Schizosaccharomyces pombe: one gene and its partners. The protein of the gene in region 3 binds, or shares a complex with, the protein of the main gene of each other region. Links are inferred from orthologs where the notes say so. Each region holds a gene or a part of one and is shown on either strand. Other genes may lie near its edges. A codon is read from its position in the direction of its gene.

What was found.
Region 1: the proteins of din1 (region 3) and rhn1 are in contact, whole or in part, in a cryo-EM structure (PDB 8YF5), measured with the Komagataella phaffii proteins. The link is inferred for Schizosaccharomyces pombe from one-to-one orthologs. Residues at the interface, in XP_002490393.1 of Komagataella phaffii: Ser62, Lys63, His64, Phe65, Leu66, Leu67, Gln147, Lys154, Lys186, Lys188, Cys189; in XP_002490270.1 of Komagataella phaffii: Gln19, Tyr59, Asn62, Gln66, Arg105, Val109, Gln112, Arg113, Lys114.
Region 2: the proteins of din1 (region 3) and dhp1 are in contact, whole or in part, in a crystal structure (PDB 3FQD), measured with the Schizosaccharomyces pombe proteins. Residues at the interface, in NP_594904.1 of Schizosaccharomyces pombe: Tyr45 (codon at 2,881), Tyr46 (codon at 2,884), Pro47 (codon at 2,887), Ile158 (codon at 3,220), Trp159 (codon at 3,223), Asp160 (codon at 3,226), Ala161 (codon at 3,229), Cys162 (codon at 3,232), Ser163 (codon at 3,235), Arg164 (codon at 3,238), Ile167 (codon at 3,247), Glu168 (codon at 3,250), Trp204 (codon at 3,358), Asp205 (codon at 3,361), Lys206 (codon at 3,364), Glu231 (codon at 3,439), His236 (codon at 3,454), Glu288 (codon at 3,610); in NP_594155.1 of Schizosaccharomyces pombe: Arg218 (codon at 5,053), Val219 (codon at 5,050), Pro221 (codon at 5,044), Glu222 (codon at 5,041), Asp318 (codon at 4,753), Arg321 (codon at 4,744), Leu371 (codon at 4,594), Asp372 (codon at 4,591), Lys789 (codon at 3,340), Ser843 (codon at 3,178), Phe845 (codon at 3,172), Val846 (codon at 3,169), His847 (codon at 3,166), Lys848 (codon at 3,163), Ser849 (codon at 3,160), Met850 (codon at 3,157), Leu851 (codon at 3,154), Leu852 (codon at 3,151), Arg853 (codon at 3,148), Gly854 (codon at 3,145), Lys856 (codon at 3,139).

What each region holds. Positions count from the first base shown.
Region 1 is NC_003423.3:1,033,343-1,037,606, forward strand, and holds rhn1 (RNA polymerase II transcription termination factor), read left to right. Parts: upstream 1-2,179; 5' UTR 2,180-2,195; coding exon 2,196-2,343; exon of another isoform or gene 2,344-2,391; coding exon 2,392-2,492; exon of another isoform or gene 2,493-2,560; coding exon 2,561-2,755; intron 2,756-2,802; coding exon 2,803-3,522; downstream 3,523-4,264. Other genes in the region: serine/threonine protein kinase Ppk27, read left to right, coding at 3,735-4,264.
Region 2 is NC_003424.3:3,355,189-3,362,727, forward strand, and holds dhp1 (5'-3' exoribonuclease Dhp1), read right to left. Parts: upstream 5,816-7,539; 5' UTR 5,705-5,815; coding exon 2,729-5,704; 3' UTR 2,562-2,728; coding exon of another isoform or gene 1,941-2,561; 3' UTR 1,892-1,940; coding exon of another isoform or gene 1,544-1,891; 3' UTR 956-1,543; downstream 1-955. Other genes in the region: cnt6 (centaurin ADOP ribosylation factor GTPase-activating protein), read left to right, coding at 1-427; SPOM_SPAC26A3.11 (mitochondrial omega-amidase), read left to right, coding at 1,544-1,891, 1,941-2,561; Tf2-4 (retrotransposable element/transposon Tf2-type), read right to left, coding at 6,359-7,539. UniProt on the Schizosaccharomyces pombe protein: Possesses 5'->3' exoribonuclease activity. Required for the processing of nuclear mRNA and rRNA precursors. May promote the termination of transcription by RNA polymerase II. Essential for vegetative cell growth and chromosome segregation.
Region 3 is NC_003424.3:5,219,720-5,224,026, reverse strand, and holds din1 (RNA NAD-cap (NAD-forming) hydrolase/RNA pyrophosphohydrolase Din1), read left to right. Parts: upstream 1-2,640; 5' UTR 2,641-2,748; coding exon 2,749-3,807; downstream 3,808-4,307. Other genes in the region: uga1 (4-aminobutyrate aminotransferase (GABA transaminase)), read right to left, coding at 1-843; SPOM_SPAC19D5.10C (uncharacterized protein), read left to right, coding at 2,308-2,316, 2,386-2,640; DNA replication factor C complex subunit Ctf8, read left to right, coding at 4,014-4,130, 4,180-4,307. UniProt on the Schizosaccharomyces pombe protein: Decapping enzyme for NAD-capped RNAs: specifically hydrolyzes the nicotinamide adenine dinucleotide (NAD) cap from a subset of RNAs by removing the entire NAD moiety from the 5'-end of an NAD-capped RNA.

The DNA of each region.
Region 1 (4,264 bases), on a different chromosome or scaffold from region 3:
TTTCATTTCGGCCATTTCGCCTTTCATAGATGTCATCTCATTCTGCATAGCGTCAAACCGAGAATTCATGTCATTTTGCATTGAGTCCATTTTAGAAAATATTCGTTCGAAAATTCCACCTAGTTTAGTGTTTGCCCATTCATCTATCCAGCGTGGAAATTGTACTTCTCCCGATTGTTCTTCAGAAATTTCCCTTTCAATCGCTAACTTTTTCCATCCTTGTAGCCTTTCATTGCATTCAATTTCATATTTCATTTTACGATCTCATTCCTCAATATATTTTTTTCAAGTGCTTCTCTTTTGTTTTCGTCAATTTCTAACAATGTAGAATCTACAGATCTCTCGTATCTTTCAATGAAAATTTTTAAATCTTCCGCAGAATCATTTGGTGGTGGCAGATTGTAGTCATTATCAAAATTCTCGTTCGACATCATCCTTATTATTTATACAAAACCAGTTGCAATAAACCGCAGTATTCTTTTTAACGATAAAATTTCAATTCACTATAACTATACAAATGATATCTTTTGTAGCCTGCCTTATATGTTTACTAATTGACAAATATTTCTCAGAAAGGGAAATCTTGGAAAATAAAAGTACAAACGTGTGTTGAAAGCAATATTTAATATATGTGTTGTAAGTAAATTCAAATCTCTCAAGTTCCCCTTATATACAACTTTAAACAAAGAATGCTAAGGACAAAGAAAAGAGTTTTTGATGGATTAAGAAACAAGGTAACCTAAGTAACTTCACACTGGGAGTACGTGATACAGATAATGAAAATGGGCTTTATCTGTAAAATAAAAGAAAAATGGCTTATTTGCAGGTAACTTATTACAAAGTTAGATTTATTGAATAGAGGAGTATTTGTTTAAAAACAAACTTCGATTGCAAACATGCATAACAAAGTTAATAGAAAAACATTTCTTTATCCTGCTTTATTGTATTCCTCTTAAGGGATTCTCAACAGCTCTAAATAATCACGAAATATTTAAAGAAAAGGTATATTACTCATTCAAGCTATTAATTGTAAATAATATAACCCATAGCTACAACAAATGCGTTAAGAGGATATAATGTTAGCTACGCAAGTATTTAATTTAACGATACGTAGAACTACGGTGTTTTCCTAGTGATCTATTATATTGTAATTCGCAAGTAATATATAAGTAGCAATTGAGATTGGTATTCTAATATATGGGTTATATTGTTGAATAGATGAATGAGCAAATACAAGACTTGAAAAGTCCTTCAATGATATATTTCTGGTATAGAGTGTTGGCGAAACGACATGAATTCTGAGTTTGACGCTACGCAGAATGAGATTGCATCCATTAAGTTGAAATAACTACTATGAAAGGTGAAATGACTATCATTGGCAGAAAATGAACATTAGTTTTATACGTTGACATTCTTACGGCACTTTTTATTTACAATTTTGCTTACTACTAGTCATCCCGTTTTAACTTTGTTCTTAGGAGTTAATTTATTTTACTTTATTCATTTATTTTTTTATTTTTTTTGAAACTCGTATTATCGTTCAATTTCAGAACATCTTTACTGCTTTGCCTGCCCGGTTGACAAATAAATACGATTTCAAACGAACAATTAGTTTATTATATAATTTTTTACGTAAGTATATGCCATAGTTTATAGTAATACAAGGGAAGCAAAAACAAAGTCTCAATGCGGTGAGTAGTATATAGTAATTCCTGCTTCAGACAAGTCATTAAAACACACATTTGCACTCCGTACACATTTCTCAACACGCCGAATAGTTTCTTTTCATAATCCCCAACATATAACATCACAAGATTTCGTCTAGCATTCTTACCAAAACTCGTACTGTAAATGTTACAGTGAGTGATAGCCGTTAGCTAAGATGACCTGCTGAGACTAAACAAAATCATGAGAAAACGAATAATGTATTTTATATACCTAATATTTAAGAGGGAATCTTGGAGAAAACTGGGTAGTTTGAGAATAATAAATGTTCTTTTCCATCTTTACAAATGAGACGAAGATTTTTGCTCTACCCAAACTAATTAATCTGTTGTTTCAAAATCATTTTAAGTATAGGCTATAATGTAAAACATTGATATTATACAAGAAGTATTTATTACTTATGCTTATGATTTCGTTTGCGATGCTAACAGCAGTGTGTCGTAAGAAACTCACCATCAGCATAAAACAAGATGGCTTTGACTCCAGACACTGTTTCTTCAAAGTTGGCTACTCTAAATGAAACACAAGAAAGTATAACGGGAATAGCGCATTGGGTTATGTTTCACAAGCGTTATGCTGATGAAATTGTCCAAATATGGCTGGAAGCTTTGTATGAATGTATGACTCCTTTAGGAATTTGTTCGATTGTCTAACTAATTTAACCAGCTTCTTCCAACAAAAAGCTTTTATTGCTTTACCTGCTCAACGAAGTCGTTCAACAATCCCGGGTCAAAAAAATATCTGAATATATTGATGCCGTTTCTCCAGTAAGTTACTATCATTATGAGCTTGGAACATCTCCTATATGGTTTAGATTCTAATAATATTTGCATAGTATGTCGTAAACTCTGTAGCTGACGCGTACGCGTCAGTTCCTGCTTCCATTAAAACAAAAATCAAATACGTTTTTGACGTTTGGTGTCAACGCGGCATATTTTCTAAGGAGATACTTTTATCCTTGCAGGAAAGGTTTAATAATGCCGAGAACAGTGGCCATTCTAACTATTACCCCGTTGGCCCTCCGGAATGGGTATGCCGCAATTCAAATAAAATATCAGAACTTTACTAATTGCATAGGCACCTTACACTCGTTTAATGACACAAACTAGTTTATACGCAAAATCTGCTCACTCTACCAAAACTGTGGTAGATGCATTGTATAAATCATACTTGGAGAAACAATCAGATTATTCTGAACTACTCGATAATTATAAAAAGCAACTAAATAAAGCCTCTGAATCATGTAAAGGTAATTATCAGGCTTGCATCGAATCCCGATCCACACTCATTACTTCCTTGGAATCGCTTATAGAAGAACAAAAAAAGCTACTTTCAGAGGAAGAAGAGAGCCTAAAATCTGTTGAATCCATAATTTCTAATTTAGAGAATAAGGAAAGTACAACAGCTACCTCTACCTTGACCGATGCAGGTTTTGGAGATAAAAGTTCTACTGCTGGCAAACATAATGTAGAAACAACATCACCTCCGTCTAGTTCTCCAAACAGTGATGATGCTTATTCTCCTCAAGTAGATTCTTACTCTCCAAGCATTAACAGCGTACCATATACTTCCAATATTGTCGAAAATCCATCTGAAGACAATCTCTCTCCTCTTCCTCCTCCTGCCAGTGGACCCTATTCCCAAGAAGAAGAAGAAACATCATTATTTAAAAGCCAGAGAAAAGAAGAAAATGAAGAGGAATCTAAAGAATTACCAGAAGACTCAGATATCTATGGAAAAGATAGTTCTCCCTCTTCGGACGACTCTAGTGCAGCTGGTCTATATGGTGATAGCTGAAATCCATGAAATGTAATGCTTAGTTTTCATTATTTTTCTTTTTTTTTTTAAACTGTCAATCAATGTGGCAGTCTTAGTCAATAAGCATTTTTAGAATACCTATCCTAACCTTTTATATGCGTCAGTACCTGACTTCATCCTATCGAAGCCGTTTTTGGAATTTTGTATATTTCGAAGAAAGTTGAGCCCTATCTAGGAAGAATGGGCTTTTAATGTCTGAAAAAAAACATTCTTGCGAAGAAAAATCGCTGCAACTATATCCTCTTTCAAATAAAATTCGTCATGTAAATCCGAATATTTCAGCTCTTCCGTCTGAGACTGATATATCTGAATCATTGACGAACGATTTAACTAAACTAGAAATTTCTAACTATGCTCCATTTAATAGAGATTTAGAGACTTTTTCCGATTTAATTTTTGGCTTAACTAATATACAAAAAAAATCATTGTATTCTCTTCAATTAGGCAGAAGTAGAGGATATGCTTTATATTCAGACGAGAATGAGAAATATTTGTGGTCTATAAATACTAAAATCACCTCTACGGAACAAAGGGAAGTACTGCTTGTCAAATCTAATAATAAGAAGTTTGATACTTCCATCGTCCTAAAACATACTCACTTATCATCCAAGTCTCAAAACGAAAAAAAAGCTAGAGTAAAAGTATTTCGGCAAGAAATTTGGGCCCTCAAAACTTTGTCGCATCCATGTGTTGTGCAGCTATTAAATTACTACGTTTCCTC
Region 2 (7,539 bases), 1.9 Mb from region 3:
CCTTTTGTGCAAAATTGGTAATGCTGCTGTCAACCGTGTTTATGAAAAAGGACTTTCTAATCCTTCGCTGAAGCCAAAGCCGGAGCATAATGCGCAGGTGAAGTTGGCATTTGCCCAGAAGAAGTATGTGGAACACGCATTCATTGACTTTGCAGGAGTAGATGCTGATGCTACTTTATTGGAGGGTTTGGAGCAAAATAAAATCTCCAAAATATTACTAGGTTTAGCCGCCAAACCAAATTTTGAAGAGAATGGAGTGGTGTTTTTAAAAGCGGTTACTCGTGATACTAGTAAGTTACATCTCTTGGAACTTTTATTCATGAATGGGTTATTGCTTCCTGACTCCGAACAGTTGTCGGAGCATGTAAGTCCAGATATGCAATCATATCTTTCGCAAAAACAATTTACAAAGTATTTGAAAGAGTAGGGAGAAGCATTTTTACTTTTTGCATCAAATCATCTTTTATGTTCATTTTTCCAATCGAATTCATTCTTTCTTTTTACCATCTATTTCAATATCTATTCAGGTGTCATTTCATTTCGGATTTCCGTGAATTCCATGATTTGAAGCGCAACGAATTTGAATGGAGAGCTTATTAATCTCCACAGCTTTACTCTTATTCGGATCATGTGTTAATTCTATAATTTATTATTGCAATTTATTTTGGTTGTTTGCTAAACAACGTAATTTACTCATTATTTTCTTGGTCATCTTTTGGTTTTCGAACTTTCTTTTCCTCTTTATTTTCATTATACTCTTAATCTTTTTTCTTTCAATACAAAATTTTTTGACTAAGGATACAGCTATTCTTTCTTTAAATACGCATTCAAATGCGATTTTTAGGCTCTTCTCGATTGATGGATCTTATGCATGCCATAAGTTCATTTGTTATTGAACAAGATCAATATTCAATATACGTGAAATTAACATGTATGCCAAACAGTTCATTCGAGCTATTATAACATTTATTTTCTTCTTTTGCGAAACGAAGACGCTTAAGATTTTATTTTTCAACACATTCGGAACAACTGAATATCTATAGTAATTGAATCCCCTTTTTCTAAAAATGACAGACGATATTATCATTACCTATAAACTAGTTGACACAGTAATAAATATCATTCTTTTGTAACTTGTAGATAAACAAAAACAATTTTTTTGGTCTTGCCTTCCGTAACATTCAAACAACGATTTCTATTTGTGTAGTTGCTGCTTGAATGTAAATCCCTTTTTCTTCTTTAGATTTACAATAGATTGAAAACTAGTTTGATGTCGACATTCTTCTTATCAAAGACATGGAAGTTTGATCACCTTGCTAAATTTCTTTTTGATAACAAGGTGTAATTTGGATTGGAGGATTTCGCTAGCCACGTGCTTAATAAGTTACATTGAGATTTCAGGAATATAATATTTTGGAGCTCAAAATTATCGCAAGCTAGATATTCTGAGACTAGCCTACAAATCAGGACATCTTCCCTCGTATCTTTGCTTTCTACTCATTCCTCTTCCTTCACCTAAAATTTCAAGTCGGTGATTGTTTATATGAACAGTAAATTTTTTGGACTCGTTCAAAAAGGCACAAGATCCTTTTTTCCTTCATTAAATTTTTGCTATACAAGGAACATCATGTCTGTCTCAGCTTCATCTCTGGTTCCTAAAGATTTTCGTGCTTTTCGTATTGGCTTGGTTCAGCTTGCCAATACCAAAGACAAGAGCGAAAATTTACAACTCGCTCGTTTAAAAGTATTGGAAGCCGCTAAAAACGGTTCTAATGTCATTGTATTACCAGAAATTTTCAATTCACCATATGGTACTGGTTACTTTAATCAGTATGCTGAACCTATAGAGGAATCATCTCCTTCTTACCAAGCTTTATCCTCTATGGCAAAGGTTTGTTAATTTAATTTTCGTTGATTATGTGAGACTAACGGTACTGTAGGATACTAAGACTTACTTATTTGGCGGTTCTATTCCTGAACGCAAGGATGGCAAATTATACAACACTGCAATGGTGTTTGATCCTTCTGGAAAATTGATAGCCGTTCATCGGAAAATTCATTTATTCGATATTGACATTCCTGGTGGAGTTAGCTTCCGCGAATCTGATAGTCTTTCACCTGGCGACGCCATGACTATGGTTGACACTGAATACGGGAAGTTTGGTTTGGGTATTTGTTACGATATACGATTTCCGGAACTCGCTATGATAGCAGCTAGAAATGGCTGTAGTGTGATGATTTACCCTGGAGCATTTAATTTGTCCACAGGCCCTTTACATTGGGAACTACTTGCACGAGCCCGAGCAGTTGATAATGAGATGTTCGTTGCTTGCTGTGCCCCTGCTAGAGATATGAACGCTGACTATCATTCATGGGGACATTCTACTGTTGTAGACCCTTTCGGAAAAGTTATTGCTACTACTGATGAAAAACCGTCTATCGTTTACGCAGATATTGATCCCTCTGTCATGTCTACCGCTCGAAACAGCGTTCCTATCTATACTCAACGCCGCTTTGATGTTTATTCAGAAGTATTACCTGCTCTTAAGAAAGAGGAATAGATCGGTATAGTTGTTGAGTATAATTTTATGTTATCAACATGCATTTTGTAACTGAATTGCATAACTAATTATGCAATGTGCCAATGAAATTCAAATAATCAGATATATTATTTATCTCCAATATCCCAAACCCGCTTTCAAAATTGTACTAAGAAAACTTAAATGTATTAATAGTAGCCATTCCTGTTATTATTGTTATAGGATTCTCGCTGATAGCCGTAACCCTTTCCGCGATTACTACTATAGTGGTTACCAGCTGGCGGTCCATTCGAATAACCACCACCTCTCGAGCGCCCGCCGTATCCTTCGTGGCCGCCGCGAGAGTTATAGCTTGCATTAGAACGAGGAAAATTGCCATTACCAGACCAAGGAGGTTGAACTCCACCGTTTGCAAAACCATTAGTAACTCCAGTGTAGCTCTGTCGACTACTGTAACTTTGCGATTGGTAAGAGCGTCGGACACCATAACTTTGGTGTCCTCCACGATACGAATTACCATTGTTTCGGCGGGAAGAAAAGCTCCTCTCTGCACGTACTTGGTTGATATCTTCTGGGGTTAACACCCTGTTCGGCATTTTCACTCCCCTTAAAAGCATGGATTTATGTACGAAATGCGATTTAGGTACTTCAAACACAAGACTTATAGATTGATTATCATCTATGCTTCCATACTTCTGAAGGGCGTCAGCGGATGTAACATCAATTGGGCATTGAACGGATACATTGGGAATTACGGAATCATTGGTGTTAACTTTGCCAAACAATCCATGTGCCATCTTTCCGGATAACTTAAGTGGTTTACCTTGACGTTTCTTGGAGTAAAGTTGTTTGACAAGTTCGCTAAACATTGGATGATGTTCAGAAATAAATAATAAAGTAGAACCATCCTCATTTCTTTTTGACTCTTCCTCGGTAAGTTGAGGATAGATTTTTGATACAGCATTCAAAAGCCGATTTTCATCTATAAATGGTAAAAGAGCAACTCCCTGCCATTCAAATTTTTTCCCGTTTAAATCAATAGTAAAATTTTCCGGGTAAAAGTCAATAATTTCAGAGTTTTCATCAGTCATAAGAGTTTGCAATTTTTCAGGTAAATTATTTTTACTAGCAGCAGGTAAAACGCCTAGTAATTGTTCGTAAGGCTTGAAGGGTTGATTTAGTTCAAATTTTACATCTATGGAGGCCAAATCTTTGAAATCAGCGGCAAAAGGAGCATAATGATATGGATAATACCAGGTCCAAGATGGACAGCCTTGATAATAATACAAAAGAACCCAGCACAATCCATGAACATAATGTTTAACAGCTTCACGAATTTTTTCTGGTTCATCGGGTGAAATGTGGAATTTTTGTTCATAATACCGTTCGCGGTATCCAGGCTCATACAGGCGGACTGTATCAGTATTTTCATTTTCTTCAGTCGAATCTGGGGCCTTTCTCTTCTGACCCACATTTGAAACTTTTGTGTCTATTGGATGTACAACAGGGGTACTAGATTCAATACTATCGGTATCTTCATATGCACTGGATGAAGCTATGCTGTCTTCCAAAGGAACATTTTGTAGTGTCTCATTTGAAACCAACTGAGCTTTCAATGCAGAGGCCGCCAATTTGTTAACTGAAGAAACAGCAGCTGCTTCCCTAGAAAGTCCAAGACGGTTAGCAGCGCGATTATTAATTAATTCTCTATTAGTAGCGCCTAGAGATCGATTTGAAGTTTTTTCAGACAAATTAACCAAATCCACTGGAGCCGGAGCGTCAATTTTTTGAGTTTTCTTTGGCGGTTTAGTATCAACAGAAGTTGATTTAGAAGAGGTAACAACTTCTGTCGATTGCGTCTCAACTGAACGCTGAATTACGACGTTGTCAACATAAGATTCTGATTCCTGATTTGACTCGCGTTGTTGACGGCGTCTATAGTTTTCGTTACGACGATCTTCTTGCTGTTTAAGACGCTTAAAAATATCATCTTCCTGGTTACCTACAGCACTCAGAATGACTTCAGCACGAGCTAAATTAACAGAACCATCCAAAGTAAGATAACCACCCATGTGCGGAAGACTAGCTCGCCATATTTCAGTCAACCGCTCTACGGCACCATCACGAATATCTAAACTAGGCAAATGAGGAAGAAAATCATTACCCACAAAAAAGATAAAGAAGACCCAGTCGTCAATCGCACGTTCTAAGTCAAATGGAAAAGGTAAATTGGGGACATAAAGTTCCACTTCTAGATACTCCCTCAAAATGCTAACGTTGAGCCATATAAATGGTTTTTTTACAGGAACCTTATTGGTCTCAGAAACATCATCAAGTCTCTTGATGCCAAGACGCTCTTCCTTTGTCTTTTTAGTACTTCCTTGTTGAAAGAAGACATCTTCACGCAATACACGAAAATGGGGTTCATGAGTAGCCAAACCAAGCATAATTAGGTCTGCATCTAAACCGTAAACAACGTGGTGTGTATTTGGATCATACTCTGGTTTCACTCGTTGAGATCGAATAAATTCCATGATCTTATGCTCACCTTCACCAGGAACCGAGGCGTCAGAAAGTATAAATCTGACATTTCTCCAGCACGGATCACTATTTAGTTTATTTATTATGTAGTAACGAAGAGACTTGGCCAAAGTGTCCATGAAAGGTGTGCCGGGGGTAATGCAATTACTGTCCCAAGATTTTTTCTTCGTAGCGTTTTCGTCGATGGGAATTCCCTGTTGTTTTGCCTCCTCAATGAAGGCTTGTAATTCTTCTTCTTTGAGAGCTGCTTCACGAGAAGAACGAAAACGACGTGATCTCTGCTGATTCATTTTGGCTCTAGGAGCCACGCCATCGATTGCAATGAACAATAACTGACGAGGACGAACCATGGCAAGAATACGATCCGTGTATTCAAAGACAGCAACCATCATCTCGTCTTCAGTCTCTGGAGCGGGGCGATCTTCAGGATGGGAACAAGGATGAACAATACCATTCATATCCAAATACAAGTTGTCGCATTCCACTCCGTTTGGATTGGGAAGACTTAAATCTGGTTCAATTTCAGTACCATCTGGAAGCTTTTCAGTAGGAGCCTCAATAACAGGTGTAATGACCTTTGCGAATTTCCTCGACAAAAGGCGGAAAAGTGCTGGAACACCCATTTTTTGGTGTAAAGGAGAAAATACTCAATCGAATAAATCTTCTCCAAACCAAATGCTTCAAAAAAGCCCAAATTGGTAAATTTTAGATACTAAAGACTACGAGTGTAGTATAAGTTGAAGATTTAATATTTAGGTATTTTAATCTAGATCTAGCGTAGTCTCCGCAGTCCTACCTAAATTTTTTAACGCACATTGGAGTAAATTGGAAATTACTAACGTACTCGCTATACAATAGTTAAAATCTAGTCTCTTAAGTGTAAGCTACGCAGTTTGGTATCTGATTTAAGGATACGTAGAACTGCGGTGAGTTTTCCTTGTGATCTATTATATTACAATACACAGGTTGTATAAGTAGCAACTGAGTATAGGTATTGTATTAACTGGGTTATAATGTTACCTATCACTAATATAGCTCATAACTGAACTGAGGAACGAGGTTCAGCAGTAGCTCTATTTATAGTATTCAGATAATATTGATCTTAATAGATTATCATTAAGATCAATCTCCATATCGTATCATACATGGTACGATATATAATTAGAACATGTGACATATAGTGATACTCAACGTAGTGTATTATAGCGTAGTGTAGTATTGCTGACATTGCCCTCCCCAAGATTTTCTATGTAAATCTGAGGATAAGTCATATGTTCTCAGATATTTAGATTATTGTTTTTAATATAATCATTGACAATTGCTTTGTCCGCTTGTAGCGCTGTAGCTAATGTAGTCCATCCTGACATAATAGTACTCGGATTTAGATTCGAAATGTACTTGACATTTAAGTAGAGTACTTGTTCTCTGTTTTTATGTTCTAGGATATGAAGAATTGTTCCAATATCAGACTCATCAATGGTAGCGTAATTGAGTTCTGAATTATGTCGATACTTTTCTAGGTGAGAAACATGAAAAGTAGATGAAAACATGTGCTTGATTGAATCTGGAAGATCCAATTCATAGTTGTTTGGACCCGACTTCTGTAACACATAGAACGGTCCTGCAAAACTAGGTGCTAATTTATTGGATTTATGAAGAAAACCTGTTTTCGTTCTTTTGACCATAACTAGGTCTCCAGGTTGAAATTCTTCAATTTCTTGTATTTTCATATCGAAATACTTTTTCATCTTTATGTTGTTTGTATTCAAGTGTTCTTTAACTGTTTGAAATACTTGGATCGTTTCCTGAGAGTTTTCGTCAGTTTTGTCACTAAAGCTAGGTAACTCTAAAGGTGATAAAGCTGGTGAATAGCGATGTACTATCTCAAAAGGTGTCATTTGAGTTGCTGAATGTATCGCATTGTTGTAAGATTGTTGCACTAGGGATATATGATCTACCCATGTATTTGGATGTGTGCTACATACACATCTTAGTAATTTCTCCACAGTTTGGTTTGTACGCTCAGTTTGTCCATCAGTTTGTGGTCTGTATGGTAACGAAAATTTCATAACGAAATTATATTTATGTGCGAAATCTTTCCACGTTTGGGAAGTAAAAATATGATCATTATCTGCAATGATTTCTTTTGGATTGCCGAAATAAGCAATAACTCGTTGATCAAACATTCGAGCTGTTTGCTCTGCTGTAATGGATTTCGTACAAGGTACTAAGATTGCCATTTTTGAAAATCGGTCAACTACCACGAAAAGTGCATTATAACCAGATGATTCTGGTAAAGCTGTAATAAAATCCATTGATAAAGATTCCCAAGGTCTTTCTGATGGGGGAATTGGTTGTAAAGGTCCATAAGGTTTATGATTCCTAGATTTGTTTATTTGACATGTATGGCAGTTCTGTACATATTCTTGTATTTGTTTTCTTATTCCTTTCCACGTAA
Region 3 (4,307 bases):
AGAGGCATGGTTGTCACCACCCTCAGATTGAATGGGCTCAATGATACAGGCAACGACAGGGCAATGGTGGTTAGTTAAAATTTGCTCGACCTGGTCAATGCAGCGTTGCTCCTCCTTTGCATTCTCTTCGACGTGCTCTTCCAAAGGATACTTCAAAGCAGGGAAATCAGCTTGAGGCCATGGGAAAGCAGGCATACCAAGCTTGTGAACAGGCTTGGAGCGAGTAGTGGAAAGAGAACCAAAGAGACGTCCGTGGAAAGAGTGACGGAAAGAGAGAACAGCAACTTCGGGAGATCCAGGAGCAGCGTTGTTTAAGCAGCTCTCGTTCTCTTCAGCAGTGTAATCACCAGTAGGTCTAGGCTTGTTGTTGAAATGATGAAGCATAGCAAGCTTGTAAGCAATCTCGTTGGCATCACTTCCACTCATTTGAAAGTAAACATACTTTTGACCCTTGGGGGCATATTTGATGGCACCCTCATAAGCGACACGAGCCCATTCCTTAGGAGGGTAATTTCCCAAAGCAGGACGGTTCATTAAAATGGTAGCGACTTCGTCCGACTTGGCAGCCTTGAGGAGAGTAGGATTGTTGTAGCCAATGGGGATAGTAGCGATTTGAGAGTAAACATCCAAGAGAACGTTACCATCCAAGTCGACAAGATAGTTACCAATGGACTTTTCATAGTCTACAGGAAACTTGACAGCGCTGATGTCGTGGTATTTGGACATTTCTTCAGCAGCGGCCTTACCTTTGGGACCGGGAATAGTTTCGGTCTTAATGCTAGGGCCTTGAGGCTCATTGGGAAAAAAATGAGTGCTTTCAGTAACGGTGGCAGTAGAAGACATGTTGAATAGAAAAGTATAGTCTAAATGGAGGAGAACCTTAACTTAAGGCAGTAGAAAGTAAAATTAAAAAAATAAAAATAAAAAATAAAAACAAATGTTTACAATGAAACTCTTTTGCTAAGTTCTATGCAAAAGCAGGAAAAAAAAGAAACAAAAAAACAAAAACCTCAAAATGTGAATGATAATACTTTGTTTTTTAAAAAAAGATGCTGTTTTCGTAGGAAATCGCTTTCCTTTTATAATTCGTCTCGCACGACAAATTTCCAACTTTTGATTGCGGATTTTAACCTTCTCAATTACAATCTATGCTCGGGCAACATTTCCTAAACTTCCCATATCCAGCTCGCTAAGCGGTGATAGATAAAAAATGTGGTCGGTACACTTGGCCATCGGCAACCGATACCAATTTGCAAGGCAAACGATTTTCTATGGGGATATTCGGATGATCGAAAGAAACAATAGACGAAACTCATGATTTCATCTGCGACTTTGCATCCTTCAGAAGGTTGGCAAAAACGAACATCGAGGTATCATTGTAGATGTAAATGAATGTGCATGGACAATTCTGATGAATATGTTCAAAAAATTATCAATCACGATGGGCAAAAGGAAAAAATTTCACGGAGATAGCAAAACGCTCGGATTGCCTTTGAAAGGATGAGTGGAAAATAAATCTTTAGATTTTTATTAAGTTAAAGAGAAAATCACTTTTTTTATCAGTTGGGATTGAAACGTTTGGGACAAACGGTAGGCGGTTTTAGCACAGGTGGCCAAGATATGCATGCGTATAATTTAGATTTTTTCATCTTTGACATTAGCGATACTAAAGCGTTTCGATACGAAAACGTTGCGATACAAAAACGTTAAGAATATTGTTTAACTAATGGTTTTTGATCCATGGGTTTATACCACATAGTCAATTAATAAGTACTTGTTTTCAAAGTGTCACAAAAACATCTGGGATATTAAGAGTGAATATGAGGTGGAAATAGTAAATTCTAATGCGTCCCCTTCATGAAATACATTTCCTTTTCTCTTTCAAAATTACCCTACATTTGTAGCTTCTACCAAATTACTTTTCTAATAACAAATCGTTTGTATTTCTCTTTCCTTTGCTTCCCTGTAGAATAACGCACTAGGGGGGTTTGATGACACGCTATATAGCAATTTATAAGTTATTGTCTAAAATGTTTACAACCATTCCTCGTTTGATATTTGACGAAAGGTTCGACGATCGCTTCAAGTCACTAACACTCCATAATTTAGCTTGACCAAGCTTGATCAATCTTTGGACTGATAATTTTTTGATAATCTTAGGTTAGCGTGAATGAATTGCGCGTCATAATAATAAGTTAACGTGATCAAAGGGATTGCAAATCACCACTTAACATATTAAAACTTGTAATCCTAATGTATATTTACGTGCAGTCATTGATATTTGTTATATAATGATAGCAGAGCTAAATGTACACGGTATATAAAATAAAGATAAGAATGGTAAAGCACATAAACTAGTAGATAACGTTTTACATTAATTTTTAGTCAGCGTCTCTTTTCTTTATCCAAATTGTAATTAGCATTTTCAATAGTCATCTTGCCGTATTGTATTCTATCGCATTGTGTTATTCGGTACAAGGTAGAATCTTAGGTAGCTCCACCACCAATTTCGTGCACGACAGCACAATTGGTGTAAAATCCAGTTGGTCGAGACATTTAATTCATGGTATCAATATCTTTTCTTTTTCCATCTCTCTTTTTCTAATATTTCTGACTATTCCCTTGTTTGACATTGGGTAAACCACATCTGCTTTTTCTCTTTGCACTCTTTACCATAATATTCCAAGTCTATGCGTACATTGCTGTTGAAATCTTTGAACTTCATTCAGTTTTATTTCGTCGTGCTTCATGCTTCGTGAATTTTCGTTTTACGATGTGCCTCCTGCTCACGTGCCACCGGTTTCGGAGCCTTTGGAAATTGCCTGTTATAGTTTATCGAGAGATCGCGAACTGCTGCTTGATGATAGCAAGTTAAGTTATTATTATCCTCCACCGTTATTTTCCGATCTGAACACGGGATTTCCTAATAGGTTTCACCCTCCTAAATCCGACCCTGATCCTATTTCTATTGTAAAGGACGTGCTCATGACTAAAGGCATTCAGATGAATTCCAGCTTTCTTACTTGGCGTGGTTTAATTACAAAAATTATGTGCGCTCCTTTGGATCCCAGAAACCATTGGGAAACTTATCTGGTTATGGATCCCACCAGTGGAATTATTATGATGGAAGAGCGAACTCGATCGGAAACTAGTTATGCCAACCAAGACCGAATGTGTTACTGGGGTTATAAGTTTGAAGCCATTTCCACACTTCCGGAAATATGGGATGCTTGTTCGAGAGACCAAATTGAGCAACGTGACAACCAAGATGTTGTGCCCGACGAGCAGTATTGCTCCATTGTCAAGATCAATATCGGCAAGTCAAAATTGATACTCGCAGGCGAGGTCGATTGTATTTGGGACAAAAAGCCCTGCAGTGCTAAAGAAAGCGATGTTCATAGTGATGATGGAACAATTGAAGAAGATGCATCCAATGCCGAAAATCCCAACCTGCATTACGTTGAGCTCAAGACCTCCAAAAAGTACCCCCTTGAGAACTATGGAATGAGAAAAAAGCTATTAAAGTACTGGGCACAAAGTTTTTTATTAGGAATTGGTCGTATTATAATTGGATTTCGCGATGATAATGGCATCTTAATAGAAATGAAGGAACTTTTTACGCATCAAATACCTAAAATGTTGCGCCCTTACTTCAAACCAAATGATTGGACTCCCAATCGTCTCTTGGTAGTTCTTGAGCATGCGTTAGAATGGATTAAGCAAACCGTAAAGCAACATCCCCCTTCAACCGAGTTTACACTTTCTTATACTGGCGGTTCCAAACTTGTTTTACGACAAATAATTTAAATCTATTAATTTTGTAAAATAATAAAAAAGTAGGGTTATACACTAGATGTTTTCTAAGCTTATTGCATTTAATACAAACTCATTTTCTTATGTACTCTTTCTTTCATCTCCACTATACCTAGATGACACTGCTATTTAGCGCAAACTAATATTTCAAAAATTGATATCAACCAAAGTATTTCTCTAGGATACTAAAGGGTAGATAGATGTCAGAAATCCGTCTTATAAGAGCAATTAATGATGAGCTTTACCTCGTTGAGGTTCAAGCGACATTGGAAAGAAAAGCAGATTCGTTGCATATAGGAGATTTAAAAATCATTAAAGTATGAATCGAAATTTTAAACTAGTTTTGTTTTTCTAACTAATATCTAGGAAAAAAACTCCGAAAAGAAAAAAGCTACACTTACTGTTGGCAATCAGTATATGGAGGGCGTGGTTGAATCGTTGAAAAAACCACTAGCTGTTTTGCAAAAGACGAACGCTGATCCTGTCGATGTCTA